2 linked regions of the Macaca mulatta genome follow. Each later gene encodes a partner of the first gene's protein in a complex. Links are inferred from orthologs where the notes say so. Each region holds a gene or a part of one and is shown in the gene's direction. Other genes may lie near its edges.

The links.
Region 2: the proteins of GNB1 (region 1) and GNA13 are in contact, whole or in part, in a cryo-EM structure (PDB 8H8J), measured with the Homo sapiens proteins. The link is inferred for Macaca mulatta from reciprocal best matches to the Homo sapiens genes GNB1 and GNA13. Residues at the interface, in NP_001269468.1 of Homo sapiens: Gly53, Leu55, Lys57, Tyr59, Gln75, Asp76, Lys78, Ile80, Thr87, Asn88, Lys89, Val90, His91, Ala92, Ser98, Trp99, Met101, Leu117, Asp118, Asn119, Tyr145, Asp186, Met188, Asp228, Arg314, Trp332; in NP_006563.2 of Homo sapiens: Ser31, Ile34, Asp35, Leu38, Glu41, Lys42, Val45, Lys50, Gly205, Ile206, Glu208, Lys219, Val221, Lys231, Arg232, Trp233, Phe234, Glu235, Cys236, Phe237, Asp238, Ser239, Val240, Arg279.

Annotation. Positions count from the first base shown.
Region 1 is NC_133406.1:238,897,165-238,903,677, forward strand, and holds part of GNB1 (guanine nucleotide-binding protein G(I)/G(S)/G(T) subunit beta-1), read left to right. Parts: intron 1-2,076; coding exon 2,077-2,140; intron 2,141-4,353; coding exon 4,354-4,516; intron 4,517-6,513. UniProt on the Homo sapiens protein: Guanine nucleotide-binding proteins (G proteins) are involved as a modulator or transducer in various transmembrane signaling systems.
Region 2 is NC_133421.1:74,805,374-74,812,644, reverse strand, and holds the start of GNA13 (guanine nucleotide-binding protein subunit alpha-13), read left to right. Parts: upstream 1-2,382; 5' UTR 2,383-2,501; coding exon 2,502-2,784; exon of another isoform or gene 2,785-3,210; intron 3,211-3,319; exon of another isoform or gene 3,320-3,503; intron 3,504-5,353; coding exon 5,354-5,580; intron 5,581-5,720; exon of another isoform or gene 5,721-6,223; intron 6,224-7,271. UniProt on the Homo sapiens protein: Guanine nucleotide-binding proteins (G proteins) are involved as modulators or transducers in various transmembrane signaling systems.

The DNA of each region.
Region 1 (6,513 bases):
TGAGGTGGGCGGGTCACCTGAGGTCAGGAGTTAGAGACCAGCCTGACCAACATGGAGAATCCCCGTCTCTACTAAAAATACAAAATTAGCTGGCCATGGTGGCACATGCCTGTAATCCCAGCTACTTTGGAGACTGAGGCAGGAGAATTGCTTGAACCCAGGAAGTGGAGGTTGTGGTTAGCCGACGCGCCATTGCACTCCAGCCTGGGCAACAAGAGCACAACTTCGTCTCAAAAACAAAAACAGGCCGGGCGCGGTGGCTCAAGCCTGTAATCCCAGCACTTTGGGAGGCCGAGACGGGCGGATCACGAGGTCAGGAGATCGAGAACATCCTGGTTAACACGGTGAAACCCCGTCTCTACTAAAAAAAATACAAAAAACTAGCCGGGCCAGGTGGCGGGCGCCTGTAGTCCCAGCTACTCAGGAGGCTGAGGCAGGAGAATGGCGTGAACCCGGGAGGCGGAGCTTGCAGTGAGCCCAGATCACGCTACTGCACTCCAGCCCGGGCGACAGAGCAAGAAGCCGTCTCAAAAACAACAAAAACAAAAACAAAAAAGGCCAGGCGTGGTGGCTCATGCCTATAATCCCAGCACTTTGGAAAGCCGAGGTGAGCAGATCATGAGGTCAGGAGATCAATACCATCCTGGCTAACATGGTGAGACCCCGTCTCTACTAAAAATACAAAAAAATTTAGCTGTGCAAGGTGGTGGGCACCTGTAGTCCCAGCTACTCGGAAGGCTGAGGCAGGAGAATGGTGGAAACCCGTGAGGCAGAGCTTGCAGTGAGCTGAGATGGTGCCACTGCACTCCAGCCTGGGCAACAGAGCAAGACTCCATCTCAAAAAAAAAAAAGAAAAAATTTGTGATAGTTACTGGTCTCTGCTGCCGGACCAGGCGCAGTGGTGCTGTTGTTTACCAAGCAGGTGAGGAGGGAGTGCCTCCTTTGGTTTCTAGGAGACCTTGATTCCAATTTTAGCTCAGTCTGGGAAATTTCATGGGGTATTTTGGTGAGAAATGTTTCATGAATTTGGAATGTCTTAAATGTGGTTTGTTTTTTCGTTTATTTGTTTTGTTTTTGTTTTTGTTTTTTCCAGTCAGGGTCTCGCTCTGTTGCCCAGGCTAGTGTGCAGTGGTGCAATCTTGGCTTACTGCAACCTCCGCCTCCTGGGTTCAAGCAGTCTGCCACCTCACCCTCCTGAGTAGCTGGGATTACAGGCATGCACTACCATACCAAGCTATGTTTTTGTATTTTTGTAGTGGAGATGGGATTTTACCATGCTAGCCATGTTGGTCTCAAACTCCTGTGATCCGCCTACCTTGGCCTCCCAGTGTTGGGATTAAAGACATGAGCCTCTAATTTGATTTGTAATGAAACTAAACAGAAGCAGTTATGAAATGATGTCAGCCTGTCTCAGCTGACAAAGGGAATGGGTGCCAGGGGTGATGTGGCCTGCATTCAGTTGGGGGCTGTGCACTCTCCACTCTCAACTGTGGTCTGTAACAGTGTTTTTGTTCATGCTTTTAAAGTTGGTCTGACATTTAGAGCCTTCCTTTCCTTCCTCCTCTCCTCTCCTCTTCCTCTTCGTCCCTTCTTCCCGTCTTTCTTTCTGTCTTGTCTTTCTGTCTGTCTGTCTGTCTTTTTTGAAACAGAGCCTTGCTCTGTTGCCCAGGCTGGAGTCCAGTGGCATGATTTTGTCTCATTGTAACCTCCGCCTCCTAGGTTCCAGCAATTCTTCTGCCTCAGCTTCCCGAGTAGCTGGGATTACAGGCGCGCACTACCATACCCAGCTAATTTTTGTATTTTTAGTAGAGACAGGGTTTTGCCATGTTGGCGAGGCTGGTCTTGAACTCCTGACTTCACGTGATCTGCCTGTCTCGGCCTTCCAAAGTGTTGGGATTACAGGCGTGAGCCACTGTGCCCGACCAGAGATTTTTTTTCTTATAATAAGTGGCTTTGTCTGAAGCACATGTAACATAGAAGCACTTAAGTCACCAGAGTCTGGGTTTTAGTCTGTTGCCCTTGTACACTTTCTGTGTTATGTGGTACTGATAGGTTTGCTTTTGTCTGTCCCTCCAGGCTTCTCGTCAGTGCCTCGCAGGATGGTAAACTTATCATCTGGGACAGCTACACCACCAACAAGGTAGGGACTGGAAAATTCCCTTCCTTGGAAAACCCACCTAGGAAACAGTATTTTAAGCTCTGGAGTCTTTTTTGTTAAATCACATAATACAAGATAGGGAAGGCAGTAACGGCAAGCTCTGTTTGTTAGTAGTGAGGTTGTGCAGGTGAGACACAAGCTGAGTCACATGCCAGCACCTGTGACAGTCTCTTCCTCTGAACCAGGTGCTGTTGTGCTATTTTCCGTTATCTCCTTACCAAGCTGATGGGAGCTAAGGACCTTCTGTGTTTCCAGGAGACCTCAATTCCAGTTTTAGCAGAGTCTGGGAAGTTTCATGTTTTATTTATAGAGTGCAGAAGTATCACTTTTCATTTAATTATTAGTTTTTTAGGAGAGATCATCATACTTTAAAGTGTAATGTATGTTATTTTCAAGACTTAATCCAAATTGTACTGTTTTGAATAAAAAGTATTGTTGGCTGGGCATGGTGGCTTATGCCTGTAATCCCAGCACTTTGGGAGGCTCTGGCAGGCAGATCACAAGGTCAGTAGATCGAGACCATCCCGGCTAACAAAGTGAAACCCTGTCTTTACCAAAAGTACAACAAATTAGCCGGGCGCGGTGGCGGGTGCCTGTAGTCCCAGCTACTCGGGAGGCTGAGGCAGGAGAATGGCATGAACCTGGGAGGCGGAGCTTGCAGTGAGCTGAGATGCTGCCATTGCACTCCTCCAGCCTGGGCGACAGAGCGAGACTCCGTCTCAAAAAAAAAAAAAGTATTGTCATTGGTCCCAACATATACGTAAAAGATGTTATTCAGTTTACTAAAGAATACTAAATGTGTATAAATGGTTACATTCATTACAGCAGATATAACACACTGGGAGAGATGTGGCAGGATAGATTATAGTAATGTCCATTTCGTTTATTCCGTAAAAATATTTTGTTTTCGGCCGGGTGCGGTGGCTCACACCTGTAATTCCAGCACTTGGGAGGCTGAAGCAGGTGGATCACCTGAGGTCAGTAGTTTGAGACTAGCCTAGCCAACATGGTGAAACCTCATTCTCTACTAAAAATACAAAAAATTAGCCAGGTGTGGTGGCAGGCGCCTGTAATCCCAGCTACTCAGGGGGCTGAAGCAGGAGAATCACTTGAACCCGGGAGGCAGAAGTTGCAAGTGAGCCTAGATTGCGCCACTGCACTCAAACCTGGGCAACAAGAGCGAAACTCCATCTCAAAAGAAAAAAAAAAAGTTTTGTTTTCAAATAAGTTCATAGCCATTTGACAGGGTAATGCAGTGTTTTCCTTCTAATATATATGGGGTTTTTTGGGTTTTTTTTTGTTTGTTTGTTTGTTTGAGACAGAGTGTTGCTCTTATCGCCCTGGCTGGAGTGCAGTGGCGTGATCTCTGCTCACTGCAGCCTCCACCTCCCTGGTTCAAGCAACTCTCCTGCTTCAGCCTCCTTGAGTAGCTGGGATTACAAGCGCCCACCACCATACCCAGCTAATTTTTGTATTTTAGCACAGATGGGGTTTCACCAATTTGAGGCCAGGCTGGTCTCAAATTCCTGACCTCAGGTGATCCACCCGCCTCAGCCTCCCAGAGTGCTAGGATTACAGGTGTGAGTCACTGCGCCCGGCCTGTTTGTTTTCTTGTGAGACGGAGTCTCGCTCTGTTGCCCAGGCTGGAGTGCAGTGACATGATCTCAGCTCACTGCAACCTCTGCCTCCCAGGTTCAAGTGATTCTCCTGCCTCAGCCACCCGAATAGCTGGGACTACAGGCAGGCGCCATCATGCCCGGCTAATTTTGATATATTTAGTAGAGACGGAGTTTCATCATGTTGGCTAGGCTGGTTTTGAACTCCTGACTTCAGGTGATCTGCCCAATTTAGCCTCCCAAAGTGCTGGGATTACTGGTGTGAATGACCGCACCCCACCTAATAAAGTAGTTTTGATGAGTAGGCAGCACTACTATTAAGTCCCCACCTAATCATAAGTCGTGACTTTAGTAAAACTGGATTGTGTGGATTGAATTTGAATCCCATGTGCAGCACTGGACTTCTCATTAATAGGCTTCACCTGAGTGGCCACTCATGGGAATTACTCTCTAGATAATTTTGGCTCTTATTTTGTTCTGTTACCTCCTATGCAATGAAAGTTGGAGATGAGATAATCCTAGCGTCAGTGTTGTTTTTGAACATAAAGGTGTTTGCATCATCTGTGTTTCTGTCATTAGGTCCACGCCATCCCTCTGCGCTCCTCCTGGGTCATGACCTGTGCATACGCCCCTTCTGGGAACTATGTGGCCTGCGGTGGCCTGGATAACATTTGCTCCATTTACAATCTGAAAACTCGTGAGGGGAACGTGCGCGTGAGTCGTGAGCTGGCAGGACACACAGGTACCATCCTTGTTCATAACCTTCAAGTGACACAAGCTGTTTAGCTGGAGTACATTATATGCTTTGGATATGCACCTTTTATCAGTCATTTATTAATTATTATTATTATTTTTTTTCTTTGAGGTGGAGTCTTGCTCTTTCGCCCAGGCTAGAGTGTATTGGCATGATCTTGGCTCAGTGCAAGCTCTGCCTCCCGGGTTAACGCCATTCTCCTGCCTCAGCCTCCTGAGTAGCTGGGACTACAGGCACCTGCCACCACGCCCGTCTAATTTCTTTTTGCATTTTTAGTAGAGATGGGGTTTCACCGTGTTAGCCAGGCTGGTTTTGAACTCCTGACCTCATGATCCGCCTGCCTTAGCCTTCCAAAGTGCTGGGATTATAGGCGTCAGCCACTGCGCCCGGCGTTATCAATCATTATTAATGAGACTGGTTCAAATAAAAGTCACAGTAATGGCCAGAAGTCTTCTGAAAATGAAACTAAAAACAGGCCTGACGTGCCTTTACCAGTAAGGAACCTGTGGATTTGCGCTGGACATGGTGGCTCATGCCTGTAATTACAGCATTCTGGGAGTCCAAGGTAGGAGAATAGCTTGGAGCCAGGAGTTCGAGACCAGCTGGGACAACAAAACTTAGACCCCTTCTCTACAAAAAAGGAAAAACTTAGCCACGCACAGTGGCGCACACCTGTGGTCCCAGCTCCTCGGGAGGATGGCTCAAGCCTGGGTGGTTGAGGCTGCAGGGAGCTATGATTGCACTACTGCACTCCAGGCTGGGTGAAAGTGAGACCCTGTCTCTGCAAATGAGGCAGAATAGAGCCCTGTGGCTGTAAGTGCTAGGTAGTCTATTATCTCACCAAGATTTTGTTTACTTGTGACACTAATTCATCATGAAAGGCATACGTTTGCTGAAAGAGGATGTCCTATTCTAATATATTTTACCTCTCTGGCTGTATTATCTGTTCTCAGAAATGTTATGGCCCCAGTACTTTTTGGTAACACTCCGCCCACTTCACATGCAGCCAAAGAAATCAGTTCATGGAGTCAGTAGTACTGCTTTTGACGCCTATTAAGCAGTCTGATAAATAAGTTAATTTTGGCCAGATTACAAGTATAACCTTGTCCTTTGAAAGATATGCTGCTATTGTTGATTTCTGTTCTTGGTTCTTTCCTGCCTTCTGCTTACTTTGGAGTTGCCTTCTTCTTAATTTTCCAGCTGCCTAAAGTAGATTTGTAGGCCACTGGTTTGCTTCCTTTTCAGATATAATCACTTAAATTTTTAAATTTCCCTCTAAGCATGGCTTTAGCTGCATCACACACATATTTTTAATATTGTCTTTTTTTTTTTTTTTAAGATGGAGTCCTCCTCTGTCACCCAGGCTGGAGTGCAGTGGTGTGATCTCAGCTCACTGAAACCTCCACCCCCTGGGTTCAAGCGATTCTCCTGCCTCAGCCTCCCGAGTAGATTACAGATGTGCACCACAACGCCTGGCCAATTTTTGTATTTTTAGTAGAGACAGGATTTTGCCATGTTGGTCAGGCTGGTCTCGAACTCCTGACCTCAAGTGATCCACCCGCCTTGGCCTCCCAAAGTGCTGAGATTGCAGGCTTGAGCCACCACTGCCAGCCTATATTGTCTTTTAATTATCATTCGATGTGAAATTTTTTAATATCCTTGTGAGTGCTTATTTGACTTATGGGTTATTTAGATGTATAATTTTTATATATCTGAAGTTTTCTTAGTTATCATTGATTTCTAATTAGATGCCATTGTGCTTTAAGACACACACTGTATCATTTCAGTCCTTTGACATTTGAGGCTTTTTTTTTTTTTTTTTCTGGAGACGGAGTCTCGCTCTGTCGCCCAGGCTGGAGTGCAGTGGCCGGATCTCGGCTCACTGCAAGCTCCGTCTCCCGGGTTCACGCCATTCTCCTGCCTCAGCCTCCCGAGTAGCTGGGACTACAGGCGCCCGCCACCTCGCCCGGCTAGTTTTTTGTATT
Region 2 (7,271 bases), on another chromosome or scaffold:
TTGTATTTTTAGTAGAGATGAGGTTTCACCATGTTGGCCAGGCTGGTCTCAAACTCCTGGCGTCAAGTGACCTGTCCGCCTCAGCCTCCCAAAGTGCTGGGATTACAGGCATGAGCTACTGTGCCTGGCCCTCTTTTTCTTTCTTTCTTCCTTCCTCCTTCTTCTTCTTCCTTCATTTGACTTTCAGGTCAAAGAGGTCTCTTTTAAAAAACTACACTGAGTAGAAGAGCCAGACTCGATGTGAGCCAAGTTTGTTCCAAGGCAAGCTTACACGCAGGACTTTGAATAGCTTTCTCTGCTGCTCTGCATGTCACAACATGAACTGGCTGGGCAGGAATACCTTCCTGCCTCCTAGGCATTCTTGGTTTTCCATTATGTTACACACACTTCTGAAAAAAGATGTTAACTACCAACCTACAAGTTTCTCTCCTCTGTCTTTGTTGGAGTTCAGATTAGCACCTGGGGTCAATGCAAAAACAGTGCTTGGGGACAGGTTCTATGCCCCAATCCTAGGAGAGGCGAGTCCTTGCATGCTGAGAACAGGGCCTCCCAAACACTAGATGGGATGATGGAGAAATTCTCCATCCAGGGCAGGCTTTTACCATATATTTTGCCTGACAGCACTGCTCAGTGATTCTGACTCTATCAATCCACAGATATCGGAGGTGAGCCTACTGTACTTATATACCGTATGTTGTCCAACCTCCAGGCTTGCCAGAGCCACAGGAGATAATCCTACTACAGGCATTGTTTACTGCAGCCAATCTACTGAGTTGAGGCTTCTCAGTCATTAACCCAACCCCAGACAGTAACTGACTAGTACCGATTTTAAAATTTAAACCTGTTCAGGAGTTTCTTGGCATGCTGACCTCTTACCTCAGCTCCCTCACACATAGGAAGTTTCTGAGCCACAGAAGCCCAAAGCTATGTTGCATTGCCAAAAACAAGGACAGACCAAAGTGGCTTTTTCCACTTGAAACTAAATACTAAGAATGAAGAGGTCGGTTTTAGGGGGTCCCGGTTAAGCAGTTTCTCTGCCAACCCACAGCAGTCCCTTGAGGCTTCTCTCCTGGCCTCCTTTCAGGTGTCCTGGCCTGAATCTGCCATTAGGAAAGAAAAAAAGTCCCCTGACGGGTCATATCCTCTGTAATCTGGCAGGAAAGCTAAAATGTGCGTGCTCCCATTCCTCGTTGTGTTTGTGTATTTGCTTCCTTGTTGGGAAGAGCCTGCATCACAGTGTCCGGTGTAGGGGATTTTCACCATGACCTCACCCTCCTGCTGCCACTCACTAATTCCGGCTCGGCCAAGCGTCCCCGAAGTCACATCACAGCCCAGGTGGAATGCACGAGTGAGCCATTAACAGTCCCTCGTAGCACGTCTCAGGTGAACATCAACTTCAGTTCTTTCCCCTCATAGATGGCCCTGGCAGGGGTCTGAAAATGCCAGAAAGAGCTGGAAGTGGGGGTGGATGACGTCTCGTTACCGTTCTGGGATTTGAAGACTAGAGAAGGTCAAGGGAATCACCTTAAGAAAACACATCAGGCCAGGGCCCGCTGGCTCTGTCTGGAATCCCCGCACTGTGGGAGGCCAAGGCTAGAGGACTGCTTGAGCTCAGGAGTTCGAGACCAGCCTGGACAACATAGGGGAAGACCCCTGTATCTAAAAATAAATACAAAAAATTAGCCGGGTGTGATGGCACACGCCTGTAATCCCAGCTACTCGGGAGGCTGAGACGGGAGGATGGCTTGAACCTGGGGGGCGGAGGTTGCGTGAGTCGAGATCGCGCCACTGCACTCCAGCCTGGGCGACAGGGTGAGATTCCGTCTCAAAAAATAAAAAATAAAATAAAATAAAATAAAGAAAATGCACCAAAGGCCTGCCAGGCTCACGCCAGCTGTTCTGTTCAAATAACTTTCGAGTTCGTGGCCTCGAAATGGGTCGGGTGGGCGGTAACAGCGGGCAGCGGGCGCGCAACGCGGGAGAAAGGGCGGCTGAGTGGGAGCCCAAAGAGGCGCGTCCGGGACCTGGTCTCCGGCCTCCAGGCCTCGGGCAAGCCCTTCTGCCCACAAGTAGGTTCAGACCATGAAAGGGAAACAGAAAGTTGTGCTCCCTAGCCCGGCCCACGTGACCGCGGTTCCTCATCCCTCCCCGTGGGCACCCGAGCGACACACCGAGCGCGTGACTCGCCGCCCAAGGCGGGAGGCGGGGGAGCGGCCAGGGCGTGCGCGCGCGCCTCCGGGAGACAGCGGGAGCGCGCACGCTCCGGGGCCACCGCCCCTCCCGGGCCGGGCCCGCCCTCCTTCCCTCCCTCCCCCGCTCTCCTGGCCCGCCCTGCTCGGCCCGCCCTGCGAGTCAGTTCGCTGGTTCCCTCCCTCCCTGGGCGCGCTCGGGCCGCCACCGCGCACCCCGCCCTCGAGCCGCGGTGCCGGAGCCGCCCGCCGCCGGAGGAGGAGGTGGAGGGAGCCGGAGGGGCCCGCCGAGGCGGCGGCGGCGGCGGCAAGATGGCGGACTTCCTGCCGTCGCGGTCCGTGCTGTCCGTGTGCTTCCCCGGCTGCTTGCTGACGAGCGGCGAGGCCGAGCAGCAACGCAAGTCCAAGGAGATCGACAAATGCCTGTCTCGGGAAAAGACTTACGTGAAGCGGCTGGTGAAGATCCTGCTGCTGGGCGCAGGCGAGAGCGGCAAGTCCACCTTCCTGAAGCAGATGCGGATCATCCACGGGCAGGATTTCGACCAGCGCGCGCGCGAGGAGTTCCGCCCCACCATCTACAGCAACGTGATCAAAGGTGCCGGGCCGGGAACGGGGTCCGGGGGTTAGGGGCCAGGGGGCTGGGGCGGCGGCGGGCGCGCGGCCGGGCACCGCCCTCGTCCGCTCTGTCGCTGGCGGAGGACCGGGCCCGGCGGGCGGGCTGGCGGGAAGGGGGCGCGCCCCGGGAACCGACCCTGCCCGCCCGGGGTGCCCTCGGCCCCCAGGCAAGAGGATGCTCGGGGTCGCCCTGCTCTCCTCCTTGTCTCCCCGGTGGGCGTCACGGCCATTCCCCCACCCCCCACCGCGTCCTGGTCTCGCCCCCTACGAGAGGGAAGTGGGGCGAGCTGGGTGCTGCCTCGGGGTGTGGGGAGACCTCTTCTGTCCTCCCCGCTGCGGATGAGGCAGGAAGACCGAACGGCAGCCCCAGCCGCTTCACCCCCATCCCCTGCTCGGGCGATGTGGGCCGAACCTCGTTACCCCGCTGGGTGACCCCAGTCACATGGGGTCGCGTGCGCTCCCAACTCCCTGTTTCCTTGGCAGTCTCCTAAGCAAGCGAGTTCTGGAACCGTCGCAATAAGGGAACTTTTTCCCCCGATACTTCTTGTCAAGGGCGTAGGGTGACAGCCTCCTTTTAAGCAAGGATATGAAACTTGAGAGAGTGTCAGGTTGACCGTACTGGAATCAGAAGAGAATGGACCCGTACAGTTAGTCTGAAAAAGTAGCCTCTGTGCTTTTTCGCCCCAGTGTCACGGTCAGGTAGGATGTTTACGTGTAATTTCTGTGCAACACGTTCCACTCTCCTTTTCGCTAAGTAACTGGGAGCTGGCGGGAAGGGAGTACCACTACTTCTGTTTAGATGAAATGTAGTGGTAAGAAGACTGGCCTAAAAGTCATGTGGATGCTGTACAGATGGAAACAATGAATGAGTGTTGAGTTAGATAATTGGTTCTGCCCTTTATTGACAGTAGTTTTAAAATTAAACTTTGTTCTTAAGTTAAAAACAAGTTGTTTATTTCTGGGCATTCAAAGAAATAAAAAAGACGGTTTTTGTCATTTGAAAGATAATTAACACTCGTGTTTCTGTGTGTCAGGTGTGTTCTATAGAAAAGACATTTTGGCAGAATTTAGGTGCAGAGCCTGGTACCTCAGGTGCATCTGGATTTTATTTTATCTGGGGAGCAGTTTAGGAGTTTGCTACAGATTGCAGGTCCTTTTAAGTGGGATTTTTTGGTCAGGAAGTACATAAGGGAATTCTTAATGTCACCCCGCTCCCCCACCTTCCAGCGTTTGGGTAAAGGAAAAACTGCCTGAAGAGCCAGGCATTGTGGAGTAATGAACTAGAGAGAATCACTAGACCACAGCCCGCTGTAGCCCTAGTGCCTCTGCAGTTAAACTATAAAGAACAGTTGTATTTATCCTGCTGTAATGTTTAGCACAAAACTAATTAAGGTCTCTTTCAAGGCTGCAGACTCTGCCTTGACAGTCCTTAATTGAAGGAACCTTTGTAACCTGATGCAGCTGAACTTAAGGAATTATGTTAATGAATAGCATCAGCATGTTAACTGATTGTGAGCCAGGTAAACACCTCTTCTTAATGTACACTGAGTTGTAAGTGTGATCTACTTGAGCATTGTTGCGAGATGATGTAAGTCGTCAGGAATCTAGTTTTTCCGAGTTGACATGAAATTTGACAGAAGAACAGTTTTTCAGGCTGGGCGTGGTGGCTCACTCCTGCAATCCCAGCACTTTGGGAGGCCACAGTGGGAGGATGGCTTGAGCCCAGGAGTTCCAGACCAGCTGGGCAACATAGCCAGACCTCGTCTCTATTTAAAAAAAAAAAAAAAAAAACCCAAAAAACACCAGTTTTTCAGTTATTCAAACAGATGACTTCCTAATAGCCAAGTGACTGTTCAGATTGATCAAAGGTAATGAAAGTAGTAAATCAGTGATATGAAATATGAGTTTGAACTAACTAACCTCTGTGAGCTGGAGTCCGATTTTGTATTATTTTGCAGTTGCTCTTCCTCCCTTTTAGGGAAATTGAAGGCCGTCCTGTGACTTAAACTGGATTGAAACTTAGGCTGGAAGAAGTTTTTAAATTTTGAATGTGTTCCTAGAAGACTCAATGTTGGGTTACGGTGCCGAAGGAACAAACAGAACATGGAGCTATAATGTAATAGTTGGTTCTTAGTGTGTCATAAATGAACATCTTTTAGGCTCGTAAAATCTTGGTTGTGTCCGTTTTCTTGTGAGCTTGGACATTGGTCTGTGCAACATAAGTTCTTTTTCCTTCTTGAGTTGGGTTCTTTTTTGACTACCTTCTACCCCAGAAGTTATTTTATAAATTGGAACATGTTAAAAATCCTTCAGAAAGAGGAATTGTGCTAATAGTATTTGCTTTTCAAGGCTCTAATTTTAAGACAGTGAGCAACTGTTATTTTTTTTTAACCTCTGAGAAGTTACATTTGTTTTTAATGTTGGTCTTCATTTTTGAAGATTTGTCTGGGATAATTCAGAAGTGTAAGGAAATAATACTGAAATAAAAACTTATGATAATATGTAATGACTCCTCTCCATACATTTTTTTTTCTTCTTTTTGAACAAAGGTATGAGGGTGCTGGTTGATGCTCGAGAGAAGCTTCATATTCCCTGGGGAGATAATTCAAACCAACAACATGGAGATAAGATGATGTCGTTTGATACCCGGGCCCCCATGGCAGCCCAAGGAATGGTGGAAACAAGGGTTTTCTTACAATATCTTCCTGCTATAAGAGCATTATGGGCAGACAGCGGCATACAGAATGCCTATGACCGGCGTCGAGAATTTCAGCTGGTAAGAGATTTGCTCTTTTAAAACGTGTGGTTTTATTTTAGCGACGTTTAGTAATACAGGTTGCACATCCCTAATGCGAAAATTCGAAATGCTCTCAAATCTCAAAGTATTTGAGTTGGAGGAGCAGACTGAGAGGCTAAGGGATAGACCTAATGTGTCCTAGTCTGTAATGACTACTTGTAAAAATAGTGCATAAAATTACCTTTAGGCTACATGTCTTAAGGTATATATGAAACATAAATGAATTTCTAGTTTAGACTTGAGTCCCACTCCCAGCATATCTCTTGTGTATGCAGATATTTCAAAAATCTGAAAAAATTACAAATCCAAAACACTTCTGGTCCCAGGCATTCAGATAAGGGATGCTCAACCTGTATCTGATTTTAGCACACCTTTTTCACTGACTTCCATAATATAATGTATCTATCCAAAATTGTAGCCTCAGAAATTTGTTTTTTTGGGGTTTATTTTGACATGGAGTCTCACTGTGTTGCCTAGGCTACAGCGCAGTGGCGTAATCTTGGCCCACTGCAACCTCTGCCTCCAGGGTTCAAGCAACTCTCGTGCCTCAGCCTCCTGTGTAGCTGGGTCTACAGGCACGTTCCACCACACCTGGCTAATTTTTGTCTTTTTAGGAGAGGCAGTTTCACCATGTTAGCCAGGCTGATCTGGAACTCCTGACCTCAAGTGATCCGCCCACTTTGACCTCCTAAATTGCTGGCGTTGCGCCAGGCACTTTTCCCCTTTTTCCTTAAAGGAGACTACCCATAAAATACTTTGTAGCTGTTACACAACATTGAAGACAGGTTTGGAAAAAAAGTATCCAGTCCAGGTTAAAAATACAGAATACAGTTGAAACAGATTTTTAATCAAGTGTTTGGTACTTTAACTGTGAATGCTGTGATTGGGTTTTATTTGCCAAAGGCCAGAAAGATTCCAGCAGTGATAGAAATCTAGACTGTATGCCATTTGGAAGTAATTCAGATCTGAAGTGTTTTACTCTAGTATGATTAAAATGGAGTCACAGTTAAAAGTAAAACTGCTGGGTGGGTGCGGTGGCTCATGCCTGTAATCCCAGCACTTTGGGAGTCTGAGGCGGGTGGATCACCTGCCTGATGTCAGAAGTTCGAGACCAGCCTGGCCAACATGGGGAAACACCATCTCTACTAAAAAATACAAAAATTAGCCGGGCATGGTGGCAGGCACCTGTAATCCCAGCTACTCAGGAGGCTGAGGCAGGAGACTCGCTTGAACCCAGGAAGTGGAGGTTGCGGTAAGCCGAGTTTGCTCCACTGCACTCCAGCCTGGGCAATAAGAGCAAAACTCCGTCTCCAAAAAAGTAAATAAATAAACTGCTTAGGAAGTTGTTTGATGATGTCACCAACATTAATCCACATTAATGGGTGTGGCTACAAGGTGATGTACAACCAGCCATCCTTGCTGTTATTATTTGTACTTAGAAGCAGTCTTGCCTTTTAAAAGTTCTAGGAAAGTGTTCCTGATAGCTTTTTATAAAACTGACACCTTAATTTTGACTATATCTGTCATTCAACTAGCATTGGATTATTTACCGTCTTGTATAGTTCTCTTCTATCATGTTTGTATCTTGTCTTTTCAAGTAATGTGTTTATTTCTGTCTCACATTGTTGTTAAAATGAATAGCTGCCAGTATTGCATGTTGAAAATGATGA